Linked DNA regions of Ovis aries. The protein of the gene in region 2 interacts with the protein of the main gene of each other region in a pairwise test. Links are inferred from orthologs where the notes say so. Each region holds a gene or a part of one and is shown on either strand. Other genes may lie near its edges. The genes, in order: SNRNP70, CEP63, SMC3, SPTAN1 and CCDC14.

Region 1 (4,889 bases), on a different chromosome or scaffold from region 2:
GGCTGCCCACCGCCCAAGCCAAGGTCAGAGGCCGGCCTCCTCCCTGTCTTTCAGCCCAAGGGCCCCTGGCTCTAAAGGTTCCAGGCATTTTCCAACCTCTTCATGGTCTCCATGTCCTTCCTGCCCAGTGTTGGGGATCATTCACCCGTTCCCCTGGAGTCTCACCTTCCTTTCTACTTAACTCCCACTTACCCTCCGCACCTTAACCCACACCTCACTTCCTCACTCCGCCTGCCCTGACCTACCAGCTGAGGCCCTTCTCCACTCACAGACCACACACTGGCTTCAGAACTTCAGTGGAGTTTCCGATTTCACGTGTGTGTCTCAGGTGGAGTTTCCAATTTCGTCTATGTGTGTGTACACGCACGTTCAAGAGAGAGCTGATTAACAGCTGCCTCCCTCTCTAGCCTGTACTGCGCCTTCCATCAGGACGCTGGACCAGCAGCCACGATAAAAAGCTGGACGAGCAAATGGCGACAAGGACAACTGGAAGCAGCAGCAGTTACCCTCCTCCTTCACGTGGGAAACAAACGCAGGCTGAAAAGCCACCTGCCCAGGGTGACTCGGCAAGAAAGGGCAGAGCAGAGACGTGATTCCCCGCTAACTCCAGAAGCTGCCCTCTCACTCAGTCTTCTGCCCCCACTGCCTGGAAGGGAGTTTCCTGAAGCTATTTAAGGAATAGCTTTCAGCAATGAGGGTCAAAAGCTTGGACATGGACATGAAACATCCGAACAGAGGACAAGCCACCCAGCAAGGATGCGGAGAAACAGACCAGTGCTTTCCATGTTCAGATCACAACCCAGCAGTGGAGTCACATCACTAAATCTGACAGGATGCAACCAACCATTTCTTTAAAAGAAAGAAACAGAACATAAAACACTAGTATATATACTGCCCGTAGAAAAGATAAACTACTGTTTCATCAAACTTTTGTTTGGGTTAAATGTATTTTTTTTGCATGTACACTGGGTCAAAATGCACTGGCTATCACCATCAGAAAGTTGGAATGCCAATCAAACTAGAAGATTCTGAGATTCCAGGATTCTACAATGGGCAAGAGCAGACTCTGAAGGACTCACTCCAACCCAAAGAAACCAGAGAGGGAGAGGAGAACTTATCTATTGAGTTGACACTCGGCAGATACATGTGTGATTTACTCAGTAAAGGCAAGTCAAGCATAAGAACAGCAGGCTGGGGGCAGAAATAAGGTCAGAGGGTACTGGACCTGCCTAGGGTGTCTGCATAGCGAAGACTATTTTCTCTGACAATTGGGTCACTCCCCCTCACTGGAGTTGGTCCTCGACAGCCAAGTCTGGATGGCACAACCTCAGCCCCAGGTCCAGGCCCAACGCTGAGCCACTTAGATCCACCCACCCAGAAGCGCAGACTCATCCAAGACTGCGTTGTGGAATACCACACTGGCTCCGTGGGGAGAGAGCCAGAAGGGACCAACTCACAGACAGCAAGCAAACAAGGCAGAAGGCACAGAGCTGCCAGAGGCAGCTCTGGATGCTGCAGGCTCAGCCGCCAGGGCCTCAAGGCCCACAGACCTCCCCCATCTTTGGGCTCCAAGCCACTGGGGTTTCTACACCAACAAGGCCCCAAGACACCGGGATTCTATACCAACAGACCCCTTTATACTGTTTTCTGGTACTTGCTACCAACCTGACCTTGACTGAGACGGTAACTGACAATAAGAGATGACAGTGAGAGGGACTGAAGCTTTGAGGGCAGCGGCCAACCATGTATGTCTCACCCTTGACTAGAAGCCTGCTACGCAGCTGGTGATCACACCAGTGTTTACTCAGTAATCAATGAACGAACAGGCCGGATGAGCAGGAGCAAAGTCTAAGCGGATGCCAGAACGACTTTTCAAGCCCCACTGTACACCATTTGCCAGGCTGTGTATCTGAGACACTGAACTCAGTGAGCTCTTGAGATTATTCCCACTTTCTAGGATGAGGAAAATGAGTCAGAAAAGGGGAGAAATCCACCTGCCAGGTATGCGCAAGTCAGAATTTGATCCCAGACTGGCTTCTCCAGGTCAGTACTCTTGCTCCTAATTGGTAACCCAGAATAAAAAACAAAAACAGACCAAGAGAATGCTGGAGACCGAGAGGCTGAGCTGGAGAGAGGGAGGAATGTGAGCAGCTGCATGGGGAAGAGAAGACAGAAAGCAGCAGGGGGGGGGAAGAGAAGGGAGAGGGAGCCAGCAGGACCCCGAGCCCAGCCAGAGCAGGGCACGCTCACCTAGCCGCCGGGGCCTCCAGCCCTTCACGGTGCGGCCCCTCTCCACGTCCACGAGCACTCTCCTGCCGTCAATCTTCTTGCCGTCTGCATGCTTGTAAGCGGCTGCAACAGATGTGGGGAAGGGGAGGGGGAGGAGTCCCCAGAGGATCCTCTAGTCAGGTGACGGCCCCACTCTGTGGCATCCCGACCCGCCACACCCGCCATGTCCCCGTCAGCACACTTCGGCGCACACACGCACGCACACACACAGGCCCACCAGACAGCCAGGCAACTGACAGCCAGACAACCTTCTCCCAACCCGGGAGGGGCCTGCTCCATCTCACCACCTGCCTCATCACCCCCAAACACTCTTGGGGGGCCGGCCCACTCCCAACCACTATGCTCACCCTAACCACTGCCCTGGGCTCCCAGGCCAGGCCTACTCCCCTTTGACAGAGCAGCCCCCTCCCACCAAGGCGGCCAAAGTCGCTGCAAAGAAACTGGAGGTTAACTTAAGGCTGGACTCTGCAGTGGGGGAGGGCTCCTCCACAACCCCAGGCATGCACCCTAAAACGTCATGCTGGGAGCAGAGGCCCGGCTGGCCGCTCCGCACCCCAGTTCACACCGGTTTCCTTTTACTGTGGTTTTTGTTGGGGGAGGGTGAGCATGGGGGAAACAGACATCAGAACAGAAAATGAACCAGAAGGGGGCAGGAGAAATCTTTAGGAGATGGCAGGGAGTAGAGGGTGGGTTATGGGGGCCCCCTACAGCAGGTGGGGCAGAGGGAAGTGGAGGGAGGCATGGGAGTCGTGCGGTGCTACTGAAAATCCCTGCCTTACCTGCCGAGACTATACCCACCCAGCCCCCAGCCCAGCTCTCCCTCCACACCCCAGTGCAACACGCGCCGGGAAGGGCCGAGCCCGACCTGAGCCTCAGGAAGGGTGCGGAGTAAGGGGGGAGAGGCGGGGAGGAGCGCGTCCTGCGGGTGGGCAGGACACAGCCAAGGACAGGCCCAAGCCCGGGGCTGCCTCACACGGGGCTCTCGGGAGGCCAAAAACGTCCCTGTTTCCCAACCCCCAGCCCTGGCGGAGGGGGTCATCCTCAACCAGCCACAACACCCGGCCCCGCCCCAGCCCGCTCCCCCCCCAAATAACAACCAGAGGAAGAGAAAAAGGTGCCATTTACCGATGCCAGCCTTGCGGGTGTCCAAACCGAGCGGGATGGGGGGGGCTCGGCAACTCCTGGGGGCCTGGCGAGGAGGCGGGCTTCCCGGGGGGGGACACGGGACCGCTTACCTGGAGCCCCCAAGCTTACCTGAGCACGCGCACAGACCCCACACCCACCACCATGGGGTCAGCTAAAGCTACGGGGGAGGGAGCCAGGGGGTTCTAGGGAGCCCCCGGAGGGGCGAGGAACCACATCTCCTGTACCGCCTGGAGGCAGGCAGAGGAAGTGGTGGACCCCAAAGAAACCTCATGGAGGCCTTGAAGAGGAGGGAGACAGGGTTAACATAGAGCTTGGGAACTTGAAAGGACTATCTTGTTTGAATTCTACAAAGCGGCTAGGGAGGCCTTAGCAAACCTGTCCACCTTCAGCTTTTCCCCATAAAATCCACGCTCAGCTAGGCACAGGCCCCACCCCCTCAGCACATGGAATGACTTTTCCACCTTGAACTTCTCACTCCCTCCCACCATCTGCTTCAGCCCAAAGGCTGGCACACAAGGGGACAGCTTCGGGGGTCCAGGAGATGGGAGTACTGCCCATGATCCACGGGGAAGGGGCCGCTGGGCCCCTGAACCCAGAGGAGCGTAGTGGGGGCGGGATTTCAGGACTGGGGACACAGTCAAGCAAAGGACCCCTGCTCTGGTCATGTCCCAAACCCCAGAAGAGGCCCAACCCGGGAAGAACAGCAGAGAAAAATGTGACGTGTGTATCTCTAGGCTTCGCTCGCTCTCCCTCTCTTAGGTCTCCAGCCAGTGGAAGGGTTTTCAGTAAAAGCTCCAGCACCTTCAGCTGTTCACAGCCTGTCGCTCGACCCCTCCCACAGCAATCCCCAAGTCCATGCACTCTGGAGAGCAGCTGGGCTCCACAGCCTCTCGGGAGGCTCCACTGTGACAAGGCAGACAAGACATGAGCAGAGCACCCCGAGTCTAGCAACCAAAAAGACTCTCCAGGGCCACCACAGTGAGGGCCCGCAGAAGGGGCAGGGGCAGGGGCCAGGAGAGGAGGAAGGGCTGAAGGGTTCCACCAGGAGCCCTGGCCCTGCTGCGTTCCCACCGCCGTGCCGTGGCCGTTGGGAAGCCAGATATGCTGGGGGTTAAACCGAGGCCAACTGGAGTGGCCGGCTGCCTTTCCCATCGGGGAGCATCTCTCCCCTCCTGGGATCAGCAAGATTGTCAGAGAGCACCTGGATGGGGCCAGAAGGGACAGAGGGCACCCAAACAAGGAAAGGGCTCTGGGTGCGGGGAGGCGGAGGGGTGGCTGGGGGTGGGAGGAGGGAGGCCTCGCTGCTCCTGAGCTGCCTGGCTAAGCTGGGCTGGTGTGCGGTGCTGAGTGATCTTACCCATGATACAAACCCTTATACCAACCATACACTGAGGTGTTGTAAGGGGAGCGTAAGCATCAGCTGCAAGCCAGCTGCGTGGTGGCTGCAGTGACAA
Region 2 (5,924 bases):
TCTTTTGATATTGTATTGGCTATTCTTATTCTTTGCCTCTCCCTATAAACTTTAGAATCAGTTTTGTTGATATTCACAAAATATTGATAACTTGCTGATATTTTGATTAGGATTGTATTGAATTCATAGATAATATTGGGAAGAACTGACATTTTGACAGTATTGATTCTTCCTTTCCATGAACATGGAATATCTCTTCATTTATTCTTTGATATTGTTCATCAGAGATCTGTAGTTCTTCTTTTATAGATCTTGTACATATTTTATTAGATTTATACTTAAGTAATTTCTTTAGGTGTTAATATAAATAGTGCTGTGTTTTTTTGTTTTTTTTTAATTTTTATTTTATTCATTTGGCTGCAGTGGGTCTTAGTTGCAGCATCATATCGGCTTCTGTAGCTGTGGTGCGCGGGCTTAGTTGCTCCAGGGCATGTGGGATCTTGGCTGCCTGACCAGGGATTGAACCTGTGTCCTTTGTGTTGCAAGGCAGATTCTTACCACTGGGCTACTGGGAAAGTCCTGTGTTTTGTTTTTAATTTAAATTCCACATGTTTACTTTTGGCATATAGGAAAATGGTTGACTTTTATATATTAACTTTATATCTTGCAACCTTACTATAGCTGATTATTAACTTAGGGATTTTTCTTTTTTTTGGTTGATTCTTTCAGATTTTCTACATAGATGATCATATCATCTGTGGATAAAGGTAGTTTTATGACTTCTTTCCTGATCTGTATACCTTTTTTTTCCTTTTCTTACTGCATTAACTAGGACATCCACTGTGATGGTTGAAAAGGAGTGATGTGAGGATAGATTGTTGCCTTATATCTGATCTTTGTGGAAAAGTGTCAAGTTTCCCAATATTAAGTGTAATGTTAGCTGTATGGTTTCTGTAGAAAGTCTTTGTCGAGTTGAGAATGTTCCTCTCTATTCCTAGTTTTTATCATGGAGTTTTTTTTTTCTATCATGAATATATTATATATACACATATATATGTATGTATATATATGTATTTTAAATTGGAGAACAGTTGCTTTACAATGTGGTGGTGGTCTCTGTAGTACATCAGTGTGAATCAGTCATAATTATATATATATCGCCTCTCTCTTGAGCCTCCCTACCTGCCGCATTCCACTCCTCTAAGTTGTCATAGAATGCCAGACTGGGCTCCCTGTGTTATGCAGCAGCTTCCACTAGGAAGGTTACCTGTTTTACACATGATAGTGTATATATGTCAGTGCTACTTTCTCAGTTTGTGCTACCCTCTCGTTCCCACGCCATGGCTACCAGTTTGTTCTTTACATCTGCATTTCCATTTCTCTGTAAATAGGTTCATGAGTACTATTTTTCTAGATTCCATATATATGCATTAATATATGATATTTGTTTTTCTCTTTCTGGCTTACTTCACTCAGTATAATAGGCTCTAGGTTCATCCTCACTAAAACTACTCAAATTCATTCCTTTTTATGGCTGAGTAATATTCCATTGTATATATGTACCACAACTACTTTATTTTTATTTCTAGCTTTATACAATTTTTTTTTAATTGGTGAAAATTGCTTTATAATGTTGCATCAGTTTCTGCCATGCAACAATGTGAATCAGTCATAATTTTATATATACCCCCTCCGTGTTGAGCCTTCCTCCCCTCCCCACATCCCACCCCTCTAGGTCATCACAGAGCAGCAGACTGGGCTCCCTGTGTTATACAGCAGCTTTCCACTGACTGTCTGTTTTACACAGGATAGTGTATGTATGTCAGTGGTACTTGCTCAATTCATCTCACTCTCAGCTTCCCCCACTGTGTCAAGTCTGTTCTCTACTAGTTTCATCAGTACCATTTTCCTGGATCCCATATATATGTGTTAATATGTAATACTTGTTATTTTCTTTCTGACTTACTTCACTCTATATAAGAGGCTCTAGGTTCATCTACCTCACTACAACTGACTCAAATTTATTCCTTTTTATGACTGAGTATATTCCATTTACTACAACTTCTTTATCCATTCATTTGTTGATGGACATCTAGGTTCCTTCCATGTCCTGGCTATTGTAAATAGTGCTGTGATGAACATTGGGGTACATGTGTCATTTTGAATTGTGGCTTTCTCAGGGTATATGCCCAGTAGTAGGATTGCTGGGTCATATCATAGTTTGGGGGCTTCCCTAGTGGGTAAGTGATAAAGAATCTGCCTGTAATTCAGGAGACCACCTTCTACGCAAGGGATGTGGGTTCGATCCCTGGATTGGGAATATCGCCTGTAGAAGAAAGTGGCAACCCATTCTAATATTGTAGCCCCATGCTATGACTTAGCAACTAAAACACCACCACATGGTGGTTTTATTCCTAGTTTGTTGTGAATCTCCATACTGCAGTGGCAGTACCAGTTCACGTTCCCACCAGCAGTGCAGCAGGGTTCTATTTTCTCTACCTCCTCTCTAGCATTTATTGTTTGTAGTTTTTTTGCTGATGACCATTCTGATTGGTATTAAGTGATACCTCATTGTAGTTTTGATTTTTATTTCTCTAATAATGAGTGATGTGAGCATCTTTTCATGTGTTGATTGGCCATCTGTATGTCTTCTTTGGAGAAATGTCTGCTTAAATATTTGTTCATTTTTTGACTGGACTGGTGAATGAATTATATATTTTTAATGATCTATTGCTGTATGTTTTATGGAGGTAAAATTCAGCTTCATTTTAGTCTTCCTTGTTCATTGATTATTCTTTTACTTTTACCAATTGATAATTTGTGTATTTTTAGGCTCAGCTTGCCAATCGGAAACAAAAATTAGAGTCTGTGGAACTGTCCAGCCAGTCAGAAATTCAGCACCTGAGCAGTAAGCTGGAGCGGGCCAATGATACTATCTGTGCCAATGAGTTGGAAATAGAGCGCCTCACCATGAGAGTCAATGACTTGGTTGGAACCAATATGACTATTATGCAAGAGCAGCGGCAGAAAGAAGAAAAATTGAGGGAATCTGAAAAACTACTAGAGGTATATTTTTAAATTTTTATATACTATAACTGAGGAAATGTGTGTATGTCTGTTTTAAGAGAAACTAATTAACCTACAACTAGGTTCCAAAATCTGCAGTTTCTTACCTACTCTGTAGCCAGTGGATCAGATATTGATATTGGGCCTATTAATACTGTATCTGTTATATAATTTACAGTTTGACTCCTGGCTTCCTTGTGTCGTGAAATAGAAAAAGTGTAATAATATCTGACTTTTTTTCTGAGTATTTTTACAGGTTCTTCAAGAAGAAAAGAGAGGATTGAAGGCAGCTCTTCAAACTCAAGAAAATTTTATCCATGATGCAAGAATACAAAAGGAGAAGCTGCAAGCAAAATTAAAGGCAGCTGATACTCAACACACAGTAGAGACCATAAGGTATAACCTTAAATATTATTAGTCTTAGCCACAGGGTGGTTTGGCGTTAAGCATGTGTACGTCAAGGCTGTATATTGTCACTCTGCTTATGTAACTTATATGTAGAGTACATCATGAGAAATGCTGGACTGGAAGAAACACAAGCTGGAATCAAGATTGCTGGGAGAAATATCAATAACCTCAGATATGCAGATGACACCACCGTTATGGCACAAAGTGAAGAGGAACTGAAAAGCCTCTTGATGAAAGGGAAAGAGGAGAGTGAAAAAGTTGGCTTAAAGCTCAACATTCAGAAAATGAAGATCATGGCATCCGGTCCCATCACTCCATGGGAAATAGATGGGGAAACAGTGTCAGACTTTATTTTTGGGGGCTCCAAAATCACTGCAGATGGTGACGGCAGCCATGAAATTAAAAGATGCTTACTCCTTGGGAGAAAAGTTATGACCAACCTAGATAGTATATTCAAAAGCAGAGACATTACTTTGCCGACTAAGGTCCATCTAGTCAAGGCTATGGTTTTTCCTGTGGTCATGTATGGATGTGAGAGTTGGACTGTGAAGAAGGCTGAGCACCGAAGAGTTGATGCTTTTGAACTGTGGTGTTGGAGAAGACTCTTGAGAGTCCCTCGGACTGCAAGGATATCCAGCCAGTCCATTCTGAAGGAGATCAGCCCTGGGATTGCTTTGGAAGGAATGATGCTAAAGCTGAAGCTCCAGTACTTTGGCCACCTCATGTGAAGAGTTGACTCATTGAAAAGACTCTGATGCTGGGAAGGATTGGGGGCAGGAGGAGAAGGGGACGACAGAAGATAAGATGGCTGGATGGCATCATGGACTCGATGGACGTGAATCTGAGTGAACTCTGGGAGTTGGTAATGGACAGGGAGGCCTGACGTGCTGTGATTCATGGGGTTGCAAAGAGTCAGACACGACTGAGCGACTGAACTGAACTGAACTTAATATTACATATTCATAATTTTGTGCTTGATCATATTATAGGTTTTCTTAGTTTTAATTTCTGAGTTAAATTTTTAGGGTATTAGATAATAATGTATGGCTATTTTTTTCTACCTTCAGTTTGGGTCCCCTAACCAAGAAATTCTGATGTTTGGAAAGTTAGAAACCCTTTTGTCAATCTGTATAGGCTTCCCAGGTGGTGCAGTGGTAAAGAATCCACCTACCAATGCAAGAGACGTGGGTTCAATCCCCTGGGTTGGGAAGATCCTCAGAAGGAGGAAATGACAACCCACGCCATTATTCTTGCCAGGATGATCCAATGGACAGAGGAGCCTGGCAGGCTACAGTCCATGGGGTTGCAAAGAGTCAGACATGACTTAGCGACTCTTCTCTCTCTGTCTCCTGTTAATTTGTACCCTTGTTGAAACTCCAAACGTGAAAGGAATTATAGTCTTATGTCTCCTGGGAGGCCTACCTTCTTTGGTAAGATAAATCATGATTAGTAGCTGGTAAGGACATGTGCTTATCTTCTATGAGAACTCCAAAATTACAACTTGCTGCTGAATAACCATCAACAGAAGAATGTTGGCTCCCACCAAAAAGGTACCCCACTTCCAAGGGCAAAGAAGAAGCCCTAGCAAGATAGTAGGAGGGGCATAATCACCTTTAGAATCAAACCCCATACCAGCCAGAGACGCTCGGAGGGCTCAAACAAACCTTGTGCCACTGGGACCCAGAGACCCCACAGAGACTGAGCCAGAACTGTGTTTGAGTGTCTCCTGCAGAGGTATGGGTCAGCAGTGGCCTGCCGCAGAGGCAGGGGCTCTGGGTGCAGTAGACCTGGGTATGGCATAAGCCCTCTTGAGGAGGTCACCATTAACCCCAGCATAGAGCAGCCAGAACTTAAGCAGGACTGGGAAATGGACTCTTGGAGGGCCCAAACAGAACCTTGTGTGTAGCAGGATCCAGGAGAAAGGAGCAGTGACCCCACAAGAGACTGACCTAGACTTGCCTGTGAGTGTCCAGGAGTCTCTGGCAGAGGCATGGGTCAGCGGTGGCCTGCTACAGGGTCAGAGGCACTGACTGCAGCAGTGTGTGCATGGAACCTTTTGAAGGAGGTCATCATTATCTTCATTACCTCCGCCATAGTTTGCCCTCAGGTCAAACAACAGGGAGGAAACATAGCCCCCCCTCCCCATCAACAGAAAATTGGATTAAAGATTTATTGAACATGGCCTCGCCCATCAGACCAAGACCCAGTTTCCCCCTCAGTCAGTCTCTCCCATCAGGAAGCTTCCATAAGCCTCTTATACATCAGAGGGCAGACAGATTGAAAAACACAATCACAGAAAACTAACCAAACTGATCACATGGACCACAGCCTCATCTAACTCGATGAAACTATGAGCCATGCCGTGTAGGGCCACCCAAGATGGATGGGTCATGATGGAGAGTTCTAACGAAACGTGTTCCACTGGAGAAGGGAATGGCAAACCACTTCAGTATTCTCACCCTGAGAACCCCATGAACAGTACTAAAAGGCAATCCCCAGGTTGGTAGGTG
Region 3 (5,924 bases), on a different chromosome or scaffold from region 2:
AATAGGCAAATCCATATAAATTTGTGGTTGCCAGGGAACTAGTAAGAGGAAAGGGAGATGGAGAGTGGCTGCTGACTGGTACAGTGTTGCTTTTGGGGTGACTGAAATGCTCTAAAATTTGATTGTACAGATGGGTGCACAGCTCTGTGAATAAACTAAAAAGCACTGAATTGTGCTATACTGTTTTGAAGGGTGAATGTTACGGTGTATGAATTACCTCAATAAGCAATTTAAAACCACAATAAACTACAAAGCTCTTTTCCTTTGGGAAAAGACCAATGTTCCAATAACAAGGTTTTCCAAACTATTTACTTATCTGGAGGAACAACTTTTACAGTTCAATTTCTTGGATACTCTTCCTAACTTCTATTAAACACACTGCCATTTTAAATTAAAAATACTTTCTAAAGGACAGTTACAATGAGTTATAGCAGGGTTTCTAATCCTCACTGAGGGTCAGGATCACCTTACGGAACTTTAGAATTAACATTGACCAAGACTCTATTCCTTAGAGATTTGGATTCAAATTGTCTAGGGAAAGACTCAAGCGGTGTTACATTTTTAAAAGCTCCCTCCCATGGATTTAAACAAGCAGCCAGGATTGGGAATCATATTGCAATTCAACAGAATATTAAACCATATTTTAAAAATCTTTTTTTAGGTGAAGGCAGACCTTTTCTTAAGCAAAACAAAAAGCAGATATTTAAGAAAAATTTGTTTCCAATCATACAACTATAAATAAAAAGCCACATAAAACAGTTAGTCATAAAACCAATTATTTAATTGAAGCTATAAAAGAGGCAATACACTTGATAAAATAATTAGGAAACAATATTTAGCACATTTTAAAAGATTTAAAACAGGAGAACACTTTACAAAAAGTTGTGTGGGAAATAAAATCCTTAAACTATGAATAGAAACGTAACATTACAGAGTATGTTATAAAATACAACGACAGAAATATAAAAGGACTATGTATACTCTAAGCTGAAAACTATTAATAATGACCAGATATTGAGGTTTAAATTTACAGTTCCTGGGTAAAAGGATCACATTACTTTACACATCTTCCAGACCAACGGGCAGTGTTTCCCAACTAACCGTGAGTGGTATCGTCTTCTACGAAGTCTTTGGCCATCTCTGCTGTGATCACATCAATGTGACTAACCTGAAGGATAAGCATTAAAAACAGCATCTGTTAGATGGTAAAGAAACTTATCAGTGTTCCCACTGGATATGGTAATATTTTAAAAATATAGCCAATTACCTATATAAATTGCATATTTCAAGTCAACTGACTCTAAAACATTGACTGATAAAACCCTTATTTTAATGCTGTTTGTTCAACACAGGAGTTTAAAAAATATTCTGCATTTTAATGCTCTGAAGATACAGATAAGTACTCATGTCTAAATATCTGAACTACATTTTTGTTCAGTTTTTATTACTTTGCTATTTCAAAGAATTTTAAGGCTGAAAACACCTGGAAGAGCCATGTGGTCTAACCAAATATAAATCAACGTATGTAAATGTTAAAGACTGTGCATTAAATAAGCACTAAATAGGCTAGAGAGGAGGATAATGTCTCTTAATGCCAATGAAAATAAAACTATGCAATGAATGCCAAAAAAACCCCTGATAAGCTTCATAAACATTTTTAAGTTTTTTTCACAAAGATATCATCATCCAATAAGCAACAAGTTTCTGAATTTTTTCTCATGACTTAAGTAACAACAAAAAAAGAATTGAACAGATACAATGGATTAAATACCATATGAACTTAAACTTCATGTAAAAAAATTTTACCTTATTTCTGAACTTCACACCATAGAATTTGTCAGCTGACTCAAGCAGTTCAGGCCTAAAAGTAGTTGTAATGAACTGAGCATGTACAGCAAGCTCCATAATCATATCTGTAAAAAGAAAGAGTAATTTAATAAAACCATTTTCTCAGTAGAACTAAAAATTTAAAAAGCAATGATCTTTAATCCTACCTAAAATTTAAAACTGCCTGATTGCATACATCTACAGAAAGCATCAATTTGTTTCTTAAGCTAGGCATAAACCTTTAACACCGATATCTTAGTTACAGAATATAAAAGCAGCATTTCTAACATAGGATTAGAAACAGTATCAGAGCAATGTAAATCTTTCTCATCCAGAGCAACCTTTTCCTGCTACCCACTCCCCCAAAATCTTTTGAACTTACTAAAGATCAGGTATAGATTATTTAAAAACAGAATCAAATCTGTAAATCTGTAAATCAAATCTGAAAAGTTTTAAAAGGAGAGACGTTTGTATAAAAGCTTAACTGGGGTTGGATTTTCAATTGTTTCATGTTTCTGATAGAACTATACTTTGTAGTCTAATATTAAATTTTAAAAACTTTGTTAAAAGAGAAATTATTTTATTGAATAATACCCTGTCTAGTCTCCCCAGATACCTCAGGCAGCAAGAAATATATGATAAAAGAGGCAAGCTATCATTTCTAGTAAGTTACTATGAAGCTATGAAACCAAAACTGTACCTGACACAGCCTTTCTGTGCTGAGCATCCAGAGCCTGGTCAATCTCATCAAACAAGTAAAAAGGAGCAGGGTCACATTTCTGAATGGCAAAAATCAAAGCAAGAGCTACCAAGGATTTCTGTCCACCCGAGAGTTGCTGCATTTCTCTCATTTCACCTTGTTTTCCTGTAAATGACACCTAAGAATATATTTAATTAGAGTTAATATTTCAAAGGGGTAAAATCTCCATCATCTCTTAACATTAAGTTGCATACAGTGTACCAATTTAAGATTTGCAAAATGTTCCACTATGATAATGCTCTCAGGATAATTGAATGTAAAGTTATTTTACCCTAATTCCAACTCCAGTGAACTGGTCAACTGATGGAACACTGCTTTGTGATCCAGAGCCCCTCTCACTTTCACCACTCCCTTCTCCTTCATCCTGAGACTGACTGCCTTCCACATCTCCTTTCTTCATCACCAAAGTAGCTTTGCCACCAGGGACCAACTTCTGGAATACTTCACTAAAGTTTTTGGATACCTTAAAATGAATAATATATAAACAGGTGTCAGATGGAATATGTACTTTTTAAAACAAAGACAAAAATTATTTAAAAGCAATAAAAAAAAATTTTTATTTTTTAATCTTAAGAACAAGAATAACAGATTGAATCCTTGTAAGAGTTGTATATATACTGGATGTCTTTAAGTATCAGAACAATTATCAGTGGAAAAAAAAGCTTTAAAATCTTTACAAATTGAATGATAAACTAAGTATCTGAAGATTTTAGCTTGTGTATTAACTATAAACAGAAACATACCTGTTTGAAAGTTAACTGAATAGCTTCGTATTTTCGAAGTTCAAGTACATTCATCAGTTCCATGATTGATTTGTACCCCCTGTCTAACTCTTCTTGTCGCTTTATTAACTTTTCTTTCTGCTCCGAGAAATTTACAAACTGATCTAAAGCTTTTTTGTTAACATGGCTGTACTTCTTCAATTCTGTGTTGCACTGTTCAAGTTTTCGAAACAACTATAAAGAGGAAAAAAAAAAACATATAAATAAACTCACATGTAGAAAATTTGTAATGAGATTTCATATTTAAAACAAACTAGATTTACCTGTTTGAGGCTCAGTGTCTGGTATTTTTCAAATGCTTCCTGAGGAAGTGACCCAAGTTCTCGGATTTTCTTCATACATTCCTCTTTCTTCTTCAGCAGCATGCCTTGTCGATTTGTCATCTTTTCTAGTTCTTTAGTATCATGGTTTATAGCATCCATGTGTTCTTTTTCCATATTTTTCCAGCGTTCCATACTCTTCTGCAGCTCCTTAATTCCAGCTTCTGTTTTATCGATGGAATTGTCCAAATCTAAAATGGGGGGAAAACCAAGTTAGGCCATAACACTTACTGTATTTTGGCTGAGCCATGCGGCTTGCAGGGTCCTAGTTCCTCGACCAGAGACTGAACCTAGATCCTTGGCATGAAAGCAGGGAGTCCTAACCACTGGATCGCCAGGGAATTCCCCATAACACCTATTTTAAGGTGTTATCTGACCAAAGATTTTAATGGTCAAATCTATCAAAACAAATAGGTTTAAATTTTCCTGTGAAAATTTATGAAAGAATTCAGAATAAAATTGGGAGTGTACACAAGCCATTCATATATAAAGTTTTTATTATTCAATGTTTATAAAAACCTAAAATAATTTTCTTCTCAGCAATTGTCAACAAACTTGATTCAGCTATTCCATGCTTTTGTCAAGAAACTAATAATGTATAGTCTCTTAAAAACTGCCACAAACATTTCAATAAAATGAAGGTGACAATAATCAACACCCTAAACTGTTCACTAGAAACTATTAACGACAAAAACTTCTGGTACATGCTTTTGCCTATTTGGGTATGTCATTTTGTAATACACGGTCTTATAAAACAAATAAGCTAAATTTAACTAGATATCAAAAACACTTTTACAAAATAAAAATTCACCTTCTGATCTTGCCATGGTATCTTTCACCCTTTTATTGATGGCTTCAAGTTCTGAGGTTGTAGCAGTGAGAACAGTACCCCCTTCTGTCTCTCTCAGTTCATTGAGTTCCTATAACACAAAAGGAACACAGGAGCATTAAGCCATAAAAATATAAACTTTGTTAGTTTCAAAATGTTATGACTGCCAATGTTTATATAGCTGTTGATATGTTTGAATAAACACTTAAGGAAACCAAAAAACATACTTCAAATAGTTGTAAATACTTAAGGTATCCATTAAGCAGGAAAAAAATGATTAATGACTAAAATATTTCTTAGCATCTGACCACTACTGAGAAAATATTTGTAACTAATATTTACTGAGTACCTAGAATGTGCCAGATCATCACACAAAACATACTGCTATGCTTCTTTTACACAAGAGGAAACTGGAGCTTAGAAATATCAAATGACTTGACCAACACAGCACACTAGGTGGCAGTGTGAGAGCTCCAAGCCAGGGCAGGTAGTCAGACTGCTAGTCTTTCTGTCCCCAGAGTCCATACTCTAAATCAGAGCCTCTCACGTAAGCATATTCAAAAGGTTATGCTCATCAAGAAACCATCCAAAGAGAACGTACCTGTTCTACTTGGTCCAAGCGTTTTCTCAAATTCTCATTGAGGTAAGTCTCTACTCGAGTAATAATACCTTCTAATTTAATTCTTTCATTCAGTAGTTGTCTGTTTTCCTAGAAGAAAAAAGAAAAACAAATTGTCTGTCTACATAGGGATGCTCATTTCACATACAGGAATGCTGTTAATCTGTTGTTGTCGACATTACTTGTGTTCAAATGAGCTGAAACAAGAGTTTTATACCTTTCCAAAAAGACCTTTATTTTCTTCTCTACTCTTTTATCTATCCAGAAGGCTATTTTTTGTGCCTGGTTCTTTTTATAAGGCATACTACCAAAAATATTTTTCTTTTCCTGCTTTTCACTTTCTGAATTTAGTGTTAATTATTTACATCTATATTTAAGAATCAAATGTTAATCAAAACTTTTTAAATATGTAAAGGTGGTCAGATCAATAAATATAGCAAAGCTAACAAGCTCAATTTTACTAGTGACAAACAGGCATTAAATAAGATGAAGGAAAATGAAGATTTCTTATACAATCCTATCATAAGGTTTAGAAAAACTTACTAAAATCTCATTTACTTTAATGGATACTGGAAGTCTCAATCTTATATTTTCTCAATATCTTTTTCACACTCCTTTACTAGCAAGAAAGACACTTTTCACAACAGTTGATTACCAACAAATTTTTTTTTTCTGTCAACTGTACTTGCCTGCTGAAGTTGACGAATCTCATCATTCAGTGCATCTACTCTCTTCTGATCTTCAAGACTAAGTTGAGAAAGCAAATCCGTTCCCAGTTCTGCTTTCA
Region 4 (5,924 bases), on a different chromosome or scaffold from region 2:
TGGCCAGACAGGGAAGTCTCACAAGAGTATTTTTAAACTGGAGGAATGGATACACAGGATGCGGTGTATATATACACACCACGGAGCATTAGCCAATAAACGCTAGAAGATCACTGATCCATCGATAATGACTAGACTTTCAAAACCCTCTGTGGAGCCCTCAGTCACAAAGTAACATAACATGTGCTTCCATTGATATGAAATGTCCAGGACACATACATGCAGAGACAAAAAGCAGCCTGGTGTTCGCCAGGTGTTGGTGTGGAGGCGGGCAGCGGGTAAGGAGAGGCTGCTTCATGGGTCTGTGCTCTCCTTGCGAAGTGATCATGTTTTGGAAATAGAAGTGATGGTAACAGAACACTGGGAACAAACCAAATGCTGCTGAACTACATCCTTTATCACAGTTAACTGTCTGTTACGTGGAAGTCGCTCAGTCACCTCTGCCTCTCTGCGACTCCACGGACTGTAGCCCACCAGGCTCCGCTACCCATGGATTCTCCAAGAAAGAATACTGGAGTGGGTGGTCATTCCCTTCTCCAGAGGATCTTCCCAACACAGGGACTGAACCTGGGTCTCCTGTGTTGCAGGCACACTCTTTACCAACTGAGCCACTAGAGAAGCCCAATGTTATGTGAACTTAACCCTAATTAGGAAAACTACTTTTACACATTTTTGTATGATAGATTAGGAAAGTTCTTAAAACAACATGCAGAGAAAACTGCACGTATTGATGTCTTCTCAGAACTAAATGGTGCAAGAAAAGTTATGATTAAACTCGTTTAAAAATGGCTACAGAGACAGAGGAATATAATCTCTAATTTTCATTCCAGAAATCCACAGTCAAATGTCAAGAGATCCAAACCTTTGAACGATTTTCCACTCAACTGCAAGACCTCCCGTACCTTCTGGAAGTCGTCAAACTTCTTCTGCAGCACTTCGACCTGCTCCAAGTCCGCGCCGACCTCCTCGCTTGTCAGGGCCGCTTCCTTCTCGTTGATCCACTGCTGCAGCTCGTTCGCTTCACGGAACAGCATGAACTTCTTACAGCTCTTCTCCAACATGCCTTTACGCTTCTCTCCCAGTTCCAGCAGAGAATGGTACCTGAAGTAATTCAAGAGGGTGACAAAAGGGAGGGAGGGGAGGCGGGTTAACTTCCTATGGAGGCAGACCACCCGTGTCTTCGAGAGGTGGTCCAAGGCTGTGTTGATAAGGACGATGCCGTGGTGGCAGAGTATCAGACACCAGGTGGAGACACAGGCCCCGAGGACCCACGGACAGCCTCCGGGACAAGCCCACACTACACTGTTCACAATGGGGTGGCGGGGACGGCCCGGCACACTCACCCCGGGGCCGCGTGTGCACTGACACCAGCACAACCACAAATGACCAAAACCAAGCGTTTAGCACAACACAGGCTCCATGCGACTACAGCTGCCAGATGAGAGATGGATTTGCTGGGCGTGGTGTATACAGAGGGCCTGTTCTCCTGTCGTATGATTCTGCCAGCAGCGCCCAGGTGGTGGGGGAAGCTACACTGAGCTTTACAACAGCCTCATTCAGAATGTTAGTATCTCTGAACAGTAGGGAATTCCTACTGTTTCTCATGTTAACATACTTATTTCTCAGGAAGTTTTGGCCACTTTGGAAGGAGAAGTCACGTAAAGCACATTTCGTTAGCTGAGGATTTCTTATGAAGAATCCAATAACACTCGAACTCTTGGGAACCAAAATACAAAAGGCTGAACTCCTGGCATCCTTGCAGATGTGAAAATAGCAAACTTAATACAACTGAGTTGAAAGTTAAAAAGACCTAGAATAGAACCTAAGTCTCCAAAAGGGAAATAAAACAGGAGCGCATTACCGAGAGTCAGACTTCAAGAGGCAGCCGGCTTGCTGCCAACAGAGGAGCATTAGGGCGCCGGCCGCCGCCTGGCCCGCTGACAGCGGCCAGTCCAGGAAGAAACCGACAGCAGGCACACCAAGCAGGCTCTGAACGCACAGCTGCACAGAAGCACCGACGAGAGAAGCGGCCACAGCTGACACGGCTTCACCCAAACCCCTTCCCTCGCGAGCCAAAGCTGCTGCCAGAGACGGGCCCTCCTGCCACCTCGCCTTCCTCGACCAGCGAGCGCCTTCAAGAGAAGCAGGGAAGGGAGGATGGACGGGGCGGCGGGTGGTGCTCGGCAGGGCTTCCGGCCTACTCACAGTTCTTCCACCTGTTTCATACGCAGAGACACGCTGCCGGCCTCCTTAGTTACGCGCGTCCTGCACGGGGGGGCACAGCAAAAGCACGCACGGATTAGTGGGTTAATCCACGGGGTGGGAGGCAGCGGCTCCGATGGGGGCCAGGACAGTGGACGCTTCAAGGGGAAATGACGGAGTCATTTGAGAGCTCTTGGAAGCAGGCTAGGCCGGGAATGAAGTCACAGTAAGGAAAGAGCAGGAAAATCAAATCCAATGACACGAGAGTTAGTTCACCTTTGTTTTCCTGTCTGCCATGCTTAAGGCAGTAAACATTCCTCAGCTAGACACACTGGTCGCTTCACAAAGCCAGGCCAGAGGTACAGTGACCGCCCTGAGGAAGAGGTTTTCCTGAGGGCTGACACGCAACTGGAGTCAGGTATCTGGTCCACCTTTTTGCTCTCATATTTACGATCTAGGCCAAAACCTCTCATTCTTAGCAATAACAGAAAGCATCGGTAAGTGTATAAAAACTGACCTCTGCAGGGATCAACAGGGTCAAAAAAGTTCTACTGTTCCAGCCTCTCATCAGAGTGTACTTCCTGGCTGTCTGCCAGGTGTCCAGAGCTTTAGATCTCATTAGTAGTGCAAGATGTGCCCTAAAAAGAGGGACACGGGTCCTTAAGGGAGCTTAGCCATAAGAAAGGGTGCAGAGCTGTTTCCTAAAAAATACACTCCACTCTCAGAGCATAAAACCATGGTAGAGAAACACACTCTATGCAGCCTTTTGCAGAGGACAGAACTCAAGAGGTGTGGAACAGCTAAAAACCCCATTTCAGAGAGCACCTCCTGAACTGGAGAACAAAGATCCAGATGGTGACAATTAGCAAACGTTGTTTAGGAAAAGCAACTGGCAAATGCAGGGAAAAGAACAAATGAAAGGAAAAAAAAGGGACAGGTCAGGGATCATAGGTTCCTGGGGTTGGAGCTGTGTGGGTAAGCTATGCCGTGGGGACGGTGGGGGAGAGTACACCTTAGAGCGCAGATGGGCATCGGGAGAGCACTCGCCCTGGAGCCTCAGCTCAGGGCGGCCTCCGCCTCAGCCCCTCAGGACGACGCACGGCGCAGACCTCCGCTGGCCCTCTGCCGCCACCCGCGAGGCCCTTACTGGTTGTCAATCTGCTCCTGCCGCAGCGCGATGCTGCCCTGCTCTTCCAGGAGGTTCTCCCGGGAGGCCGACTGCGCTGGGTCCAGCTTCTTCACGTAGGCGGCCGGCACGAAGCCCTGCCGGTCGTTCACTTCCACTTTCCACCAGTCCTACAGGGAAAAGAGACTATCTCCATGGCAAATTCCTCCCCTGACGGAGGGAGAACCCAAGGAGGCCCGTGTACACACGCATGCACACATGAAGAAGAGCTCTAGTCACGGCATGAGGATCCCGTGACGGTGCCAAAGTCACCTGGTGTGAAGATGGGAATTTTGATCCCCTCGTGACCTGCCGCGTATAGGGAGGGTCATGAGTGAGGCAGCCATGACTTTACTGGAGCAGGAAGGCCACCTTCTCTTCGCACAGATGCTCCAGGACTGTGCTAACACGGCAGCCTCGAGCCATACTTCAGGAAATTAAATAAAACCTCAGATGCTCTGGGACCTCTGAAGCCCCTCATGGTCACCTGTGACTAGTGGCTTCTGTGGGGCCAACACAGACACATAGTCTGCCATCACCGTGGCTTCTACTGGCGAGGCTGCTCTGGAGTGAACCAGAGTCAGACCAGGCAGTTAGCTTAGGTTTAGAGTCAGCAGACCGACACTGGCCAGTGTTTCCTCAAAGTCCCACGACCAGGTGAGCTGAGTGGCTGGGAAGAGGAGGTGCCTAACACTTCTCCAGCCTACACTAAGACAGGGGGCAGGATCCTGGGGGGGCTCGTCAGATGATGGCCTCATTCCAAGGCCATAGCCAATCAGAATGCGTTAAGAAAGACTGATGAACCAGGCAGCACTGAACTTGGAGAAGATGAGGAGGCGGAGCCTACAGGGTGACGCTGAAGCCTGTTTTCAACCCTCTGCTGCGGCCCTACAGTCTAGAACCAACAGGTGCCAGTGACAGAGAAGCAGACTTCAGCTCAAAAGAGAAAAAAATTCCACTTGGAAGTGGTCCTTGAGAGTAAGGGTCACTACCCTAGCTCTCAGGTATTTACGGAGACAGGCTGGTCATCTCAATCACAGGCAAAACAGTAAACCCACGTGACATGGGAGACTGACCTGGAAACTCTAGTAACTTTAAGTTTTAAACCAGCCACATCCTGGAAAGACAAGCTCCCAAGACACCTAATATGTGGAAACCAACCCCCTGTCATCCTCTGTGCTTGCCTTGTTGGTGCTGTTGAGTAAGGTGAGAATGTCTCCTTTCTTCATGGTGACCTCTCGGGGACTCTTCTCCTGATAGTCATAGAGCGCCAAGACCAGCTCCTTCCCAGTCTCGTCATCCATGGGGGCCACTTGTTGCTAAAAATTCAAAGGAAGGGCAAACACAGTTATGGGATGTCTCCAGAGTGCCGTCTCAGCCACTGCAGATCCCAGCCTCAGCAGGAGACCCACATCCATCAAACATACACTGGTGACAGTTCTCCTCTGAAGCCACCAACAAGATCTGACTCAGGAAGCTCAGCTGTCTGGGACCTTTAAGGCCACAGGAAAGTCACCTACGGGGGCTTTCCTGGTGGGCCAGTGGTTAAGAATCTGCCTGCCAATGTAGGAGACACAGGTTTGATCTCTGGTCCAGGAAGATCCCACATGCCTTGGAAAACCTAAGCCTGTGCACTCAACTGTTGAGCCTGGGCACCCCAACTACTGAGCCCACACGCCCTAGAGCCTGTGCACCACAACGAAAAGTAGCCCCCGCTTTCTGCAACTAGAGAAAGCCCATGAAGCAATGAAGAACCAACACAGCTAAAAATACATAAATAAAAGAACGTCACCCAAGATCATGCCACCTGCTGTCAGCATCTGGGTCTTTTGGCCTCCCTGCTCCCTGGCCCCGACCCAACCCCTGGGATCTTGCAACTGCTGACATGAAAAGCCTCACTTACCCGGCACGACTGGGCCTGCTCTCGCAGGGCCTGGATGCTGCTGCCATAGGCGCTGAGATCCGACATCAATGCCTCGTGCTTCTTTAGCAGAGCCTGAAATCCAAGTCACACACAAAGCGACCCTGAGCAAGGAGCCAGAGCAGCCCCTCTGCCTCCCCAGCATGCCGTCTGCCTCTTAAATCTGTTTAGCTACCTGGTGACTTGATGACTCTCTCTCCCTTTATTTGATAAACACTTAGCGTGGAGAAAATATCATGTTTTCTATTATCTTTTCATCCATAATTATGCAACCCTTGAAACAGACGAGGAGTCATAAAGAACACTGTCACATGTACAGTGATCCACCACCCATCCTGAGAATTCAACACTCCTGCTAAGTGGCAGCTGGGCACATGCCGCCCTCCTCCAAGAACCCCCTTCCCACCACCCTCCGTGCTTCCTACTTCTCCAAATCCTATCAGGTCGGGTCAATACTCAGCTCAGGACGGTTTACGTGAAGACAGGCAAGAAAAGGCAGGCACGTGGCTACACCTAGATCTTTATGAATAGAATTTAAGAATTCCATTCAAAAAAGATGACTAAGAAAAAATTGTGCTTATGTACACATAGGTATACAGAAAAAATGAAGTAAGATCGGAGACATGGGCATGGCTA
Region 5 (5,924 bases), about 66 Mb from region 2:
GAACTACTACCTCCACATAAACTAAGGAATTAATTTATGAATACTAAATTATAAACAATAGACAATTCTGTGTAAACAGCTTAAAATTCATTTAATACTTAGGCCTAAGAAATCTCTTTCTATAAAATCTGAACATGTTAAAGAGATTCTATCTGGGTCTCTAGAAGTTGCAGCCCCAACACTTAAAAACAGCAGGAGGTGGTTCTGGGACTGGCAGAACACTCTAATGCTAAAGCCTGCCCAAGCAGCAAATAAAATGACACCAGGCAGGTGACTTGTATGAAGTATCAGTCATAGCACACTATGCAGCTTTCTAAGAGTTAAAATGTGCCATTTACATGGAAGGAGATAACACCAAATAGTTAGGAAGTGCTAGTTTAGAGAAGCAGAGACCAACCTAACCCATATTATTTACAGAACAGAAAATGCTCTCAGCTGAAGTGCTGGGGGAAAAAAAATTGGCCCAGAAAAGCAGAATTACAATCAGTTCAAGATTTATAAAATCCATCATGTTCAAATATAATGACAAAAAACAAATAAACACTTATTTATTTAAAAAAACAAATTTACAAAACCAAAACCTATCTTAGCATTTTTTAAAATTAGTCTGACTTTACTTTTTAATGATCTCCAGTGTATCTGTGACAAAAATAAGTAAAAGTGCTAAAGTGTTAAGAGACCATATGCTAACTTAGGATGTTATCTATATTTTTTAAGACCAATCAACATTTGTTTTTTTTTTAAATGGAGATACTGGCACTTTTTCTGTTAAAATAAATGTTTATATGTCTCACCAACAACACCAGCCTGTAGCACAGAACATCACACATTAAAACACAATGCCATTAAAAAACAAACAGGAATCCTGAAAGAGAAAAAAAAACCCTCTAGTTTTAATATAGTAAATTGTACCCAGAGACTCCCTTCCTATTATCCTTTAGAACAACCAGAAATTCCTTCCAACCTGCATTCTTAGCCCAGCAGAGTAAGAATAAACTCTAATAAATAAATACTAAATTTTATTTATAATACAGTATTTTTCTAGTAACACACAACTTTCTTCTCTTAACAAATGTCAGTTTCTTAAGATGACTTTTTATAAGCTCTAGTGTCAATATATTCCAATGATAAATGTATTATTCATACAATTTATTTCACACATAATATAAAACTTTTCTCTAAAGAAATTTAAAATATACATTCAATGTAGCCAAGTTCTATTCTTAAAAACAACTTTTCCTTCCTTCTGAGCTTACTTCTGCAAAAGACCAGTCCTTAAGGACTTCTGGAGTCTGGCAATGTTGGCGTCCAGTGCTGCAAGGCCATTTCGGAAGTCTTGCTCATCACGAGACGTGAACGTGGAAAAAGAAGAGATGCTCCAGTCAGAAGGTAAGTCAGAATTTAAAAAGCTACCATCAGAGACTGCACTGCTTTTCACCTGAACATTGCTGTTCTGACAAGCAGAGGGGCTGTGACAGGCTGCCAACTCCTCCTCAGTGGCAGGAGGGATCTTGCAAATGGCTTCCTTTATTTTCTTGAGAAGCTGCTTGTCCTCCCTATCAGCTGTTCTGGAAAGTTTCTCAGGTGCTTCTTCCTTTTTGCAAGAGGAACAAACTCCAGGTGCACACAGTGTATTTTCTTTTTCAGCAACAAGTCCACTGACCGGTTGCGGTGGAGCTACACTGATCTGGGCCTGGGGGGATAATCTCTTAGACAGTGGCGATTTCTTTTTAGGAGTGCTTCTAGCAAATGGAATGTAAATTGTTTTATCCAAATTATGCTCATCTTCTACTAAGGTCGTAATTTCACTTGCCTCATCAGAATCCTGTTTTGAAAGGGCAGGAACAATTCCAGGGGCTGATACCTCCTCCATATTCCTAGTATTACTGTGCTGAGGGCCTTTGGAGGGCAGGACATTTTCATAAGGTCTATCTGGCACCATGTTTTCCTCATTGGCAACTGTAGAAAGAGGCTCTGGATGTGTAATAAGAGTGTGATCTGGCTCTAACTTACTTAGGTAGCTCATTATGGAAGTGTGAGCAGGGATCGGGTCATGTTGATGTTGCTTTTCATAAATGTTCAGAAGTGATTTGGTAAGATTATTCCCAGGCTTGCAGCGAGCAGTGTCCATACTAAGATCTGAGAGAAGCTTTGCCATACTGCTCTGTAAAGTTCTGTTAAGAAGAATTTAGTACACTAATTATTTCTTTTTACCCATTTGTTTCATTTACTTACATATTCCTCTCATCTTTAAAAGAAAGTATCTGAGGCAAGCACCTGGTTCTTAATATGGGAAAAAGCAACTAAAAGCACAAAATCACATAATATGTTCTGGAAAGAGTAAATTAAAGTAACAATTGATATAAGATCTTAGTCTGCATCAAATCTAATACTATTATATCTAAAAGTGGAGGCTCAGAAAAAATTTTCTCTTAAGGTAGAGATGCTTTATTCTTGAGCAACACTGCAAAATGGTAAATATACTACCCATTTGTTAGTGGATTGTGTTAGTAACTATTACTCTACATTCAAAACATATATGGAAAGGATATTGGAACAATACTGGCGAAAAAAAGGATAGTTAGACATAATTTAATTATCTCATATAATTAGGTATAACTGACAGCTAGATTCCAGGGAAAGTGTGATATAAGGAAAATCACACAGGGTTTGAAGTCAGACAGAAATTGGTTCATATCCTAGCACTATTGCTAGCTGTGATCTTGAGCAAGCTGTTTAACCTTTCTGAATCTCAAGTTCCTCAACTGCAAAAATGAAGATAACTACTTCACATTTAGAATGAACATTAAATAAGATAAAATAATAAAACATAAGGGTAAAGTGCTTAGCACTGTTTCCATCTGGTGACAGCTTTTATTAGTAGTCCTGTTAAAACCATTTTATACCAAGACTTTAGTCTATTTGAATGGAATCATATATATTCTTATATATAGATAAGAAAAAGAAACATAACGAATTTAAAGATACAAAGAACATTAATAGGTAATTTTTAAAAAAAGATTATAATGTGTCAATAAGTATGTTTTAAAGTTTGACTTTTATCAGATAAATTAAAATTTTTAAAATAGGATTTTTTTGGGCCTATCAAGCTAACATAGGAAAATAAGAATATCCATTGTTAAAAAGGCTTGGAGAGGCAAAGTGGGAGTGTACACTCTCCTAGCAAAATAGCATTATATCAGAAATCTTAAAAGACTTTTATATTCCACACCTTTAGACCCACCAAGTTGCACTTCTAGGAATTTAACCTACTGATATTCACCAATAGGCTGCACCCAAAGATATATTTACAAAGATATAATTTATAACAGAAAATTGATGAACTTAATATCTTTATCTTCAAATACTGTGGACTGGTTCAGGTATATTACATTCTTACTACATCATAGCCATTTTTTATAGTCATTTGTAAAGAATATTTATTGATAGGAAAATGTTCATTATACAAGGTTAAATTTAAAAGAGTAGCCATAAGCAACACAGTAACAATACTATTTTTGTAAAAACAGTTATACACGTCCAAATAAAATACTAAAAGGAAATCTCTGTATGAAACAGTTAGCAGTGATTATATTAATATCTTTGGATATAGAATAAGTGATCCTTTTCCTACAAAAGGAAAAAAAGTTCTTTCCCAACCTGGCATACACTGTCATCTTAAATATGCTATGTCTTGAGTTCTGATTGCCCTTCAAATGGCAATGGCTCCAGCCACTTTTTTTCATTCCTCTTTCAAGAAGCTAACGAGCTACTATTAAAAGATAAAAAGTATGCCATAGAAACCATCTTTAAAGAAGTCCTGTAATGAGCAATGACCACTAGTTAATTCAACCAGACAGCATACTGACACTTTTATTTTCATTTATTTTTGGAAAAGAAATCCTTATGTTGAAGTTCCTTTTCAGACTTAAATAAAAATATTATCTTTGCTCTGTACAAAATTCACAATACAAAAAGGGACATGTAATAAAGAGTTTAATCTCTGGAAATTAAATGCAATCATTAAGTTTCTCATGTGTAAACAAATGTGACTTACAACTGTCTTTGAAATTAAAAGAAAAATCTCTGTAAATAAAGAGATAAAACTATGCCAAAATTTTAAAGGAAGCAATACAAGCACCTAAATAGCTACAAAGTAGATATATCTGTGTTTCTATTACATGAGACTCAGCTAAACACAACGGTTTTTAATGCTTGGAAAACTGGTGCGTTTTCATAATAAAAATGTAAAGTCCTTTCTTGGCTATTTATAAAACTATACTAATTTAAATAAATATCAGCACTTGTATGAGTGCTCTTAGAAACTATCAGAAGAATATTTACTACTTTTTTACTGAAAAATATATTAATTTTCCTCACATTTTAATGGTACTATAACCTGCATTCTAGTAAAATCTAAAAAACGTAATAAAGATGTATTTCAAAACTATTGAAAGTTGGAGAAGAAATGGTTTAGGAAATTTGTTTAGCACTTGTATGTGAAATCACTCCCCAGTAGTATGAGAAAGGCATTTTTTTGTCAAATCTCTGAGACTATTTAACACATGCAAAAAAAAAAATGCACACACACACACACACACACACACACACACAGAGACACATACATATCTGACTGAGGTTACATGGCTATAGGAAAAAAAGATGGGGTAGGCGAACATGAAGATTTATCTGTATTGTCAAGTGTTGTTGACTTATGCTCTAATGTCAGAAGTAAAATGTAAATTGTCACAGTAGCCCAGCTATAGTACTGGGAATATTCCTAATTAACTGAATTGCCCAAGTCACCAATGTGGGTGAATTTTGACAACCAAGCTCAAAGAGTATTTTTTGTCTGGTTTGCTCTTAAATTTAAAGGGCAACTTGATCTGAGTAAATCCTAGCATTTTTCTGGACATTTCTTAGAAATAAAATCATAAAATATGTGGGTTTTTGTGATTAACTTCTTTTACCATAAATACTTAAAGATAACAAAGTTTTTACCCTAAATTACTCCTCAGAAAAGAGAAGATGCTTTTCTTTAGAGACCTTATAAAGACTTTCATAAGAAGGGGCATCCTCATAATTAACTTGGAAAAAGAGTGGTATAACCCAATATTCCAGAAACTGTGACCAGAGCCTAATTAATACTACACGGATACAAGAAGTACATTTTGTTTTTCTCACTGTTCAATAAAAGTTTGAGTGAAATTATTCTGTAAAAGATGAATGTGGGGAGAAGCAATATTTCTATATTAACATAGCTTATATAAAGTCATTTCAAATATGCTTACAAAACTAATAAATATTCTTTATATATATATGTATACGTATAGGCTTCCCCGGTAGCTCAGCAGTAAAAGAATCCATCTGTAATGCAGGAGACGTAGGTTTGATCTCTGGGTCAGATAGATCCCCTGGAAAAGGAAATAGCTACCCATTCCAGTATTCTTGCCTGGGAAAATAGAGGAGCCTGGCAGGCTACAGTCCTGCCAAGACTGCAAGAGTCAGATACAGCTTAGTGACTAAACCACCACCATGTATCTATGTATCATTTATTCTCCAGAAGTTTATAACTCAAAGTGGGGAAAAAAGTGTATAATGCAAAATGGATCTTTTCATTTGAAATACAAAGAAGATTGTTTTATATTCAGGATTGCTTTATATTTAGAACTATGACTTTCCAGGATCAGTCAAAAGCATGGTCAGATCTGATGATATATAATTTAGGCCTAAAATAACTGACTTCTCTAGGATTTAAAAAATCAGTTGAAAATCCAATTTTTGTCAACCACCTCAAGAGAAAACTGAACTTTATAAAAGAATATCATATAAAAGTTGAGTGAGGTGGTTTTATTTATTTAACACATGTTAAGGAAGAAAGAAATCTTAGAAATTATTGTCAAATCCCTCATTTTACTAATGCA

What was found.
Region 1: the proteins of CEP63 (region 2) and SNRNP70 interact in binary tests that used the Homo sapiens proteins (3 or more experiments, as listed by UniProt). The link is inferred for Ovis aries from reciprocal best matches to the Homo sapiens genes CEP63 and SNRNP70.
Region 3: the proteins of CEP63 (region 2) and SMC3 interact in a two-hybrid assay, tested with the Homo sapiens proteins (2 studies listed by BioGRID and IntAct). The link is inferred for Ovis aries from reciprocal best matches to the Homo sapiens genes CEP63 and SMC3.
Region 4: the proteins of CEP63 (region 2) and SPTAN1 interact in a two-hybrid assay, tested with the Homo sapiens proteins (2 studies listed by BioGRID and IntAct). The link is inferred for Ovis aries from reciprocal best matches to the Homo sapiens genes CEP63 and SPTAN1.
Region 5: the proteins of CEP63 (region 2) and CCDC14 interact in binary tests that used the Homo sapiens proteins (3 or more experiments, as listed by UniProt). The link is inferred for Ovis aries from reciprocal best matches to the Homo sapiens genes CEP63 and CCDC14.

What each region holds. Positions count from the first base shown.
Region 1 is NC_056067.1:55,353,328-55,358,216, reverse strand, and holds part of SNRNP70 (U1 small nuclear ribonucleoprotein 70 kDa), read right to left. Parts: intron 2,353-4,889; coding exon 2,251-2,352; intron 1-2,250. UniProt on the Homo sapiens protein: Component of the spliceosomal U1 snRNP, which is essential for recognition of the pre-mRNA 5' splice-site and the subsequent assembly of the spliceosome. SNRNP70 binds to the loop I region of U1-snRNA.
Region 2 is NC_056054.1:255,433,792-255,439,715, reverse strand, and holds part of CEP63 (centrosomal protein of 63 kDa), read left to right. Parts: intron 1-2,772; coding exon 2,773-3,006; intron 3,007-3,262; coding exon 3,263-3,402; intron 3,403-5,924. UniProt on the Homo sapiens protein: Required for normal spindle assembly.
Region 3 is NC_056075.1:30,683,475-30,689,398, reverse strand, and holds the end of SMC3 (structural maintenance of chromosomes protein 3), read right to left. Parts: coding exon 5,827-5,924; intron 5,228-5,826; coding exon 5,120-5,227; intron 4,610-5,119; coding exon 4,501-4,609; intron 3,881-4,500; coding exon 3,633-3,880; intron 3,544-3,632; coding exon 3,331-3,543; intron 3,051-3,330; coding exon 2,859-3,050; intron 2,706-2,858; coding exon 2,528-2,705; intron 1,914-2,527; coding exon 1,717-1,913; 3' UTR 1,169-1,716; coding exon of another isoform or gene 1,097-1,168; 3' UTR 760-1,096; downstream 1-759. UniProt on the Homo sapiens protein: Central component of cohesin, a complex required for chromosome cohesion during the cell cycle. The cohesin complex may form a large proteinaceous ring within which sister chromatids can be trapped.
Region 4 is NC_056056.1:7,770,511-7,776,434, forward strand, and holds part of SPTAN1 (spectrin alpha chain, non-erythrocytic 1), read right to left. Parts: intron 5,364-5,924; coding exon 5,271-5,363; intron 4,687-5,270; coding exon 4,552-4,686; intron 3,499-4,551; coding exon 3,350-3,498; intron 2,266-3,349; coding exon 2,206-2,265; intron 1,102-2,205; coding exon 903-1,101; intron 1-902. UniProt on the Homo sapiens protein: Fodrin, which seems to be involved in secretion, interacts with calmodulin in a calcium-dependent manner and is thus candidate for the calcium-dependent movement of the cytoskeleton at the membrane.
Region 5 is NC_056054.1:189,147,448-189,153,371, forward strand, and holds the end of CCDC14 (coiled-coil domain-containing protein 14), read right to left. Parts: exon of another isoform or gene 2,175-5,924; coding exon 1,253-2,174; 3' UTR 478-1,252; downstream 1-477. UniProt on the Homo sapiens protein: Negatively regulates centriole duplication. Negatively regulates CEP63 and CDK2 centrosomal localization.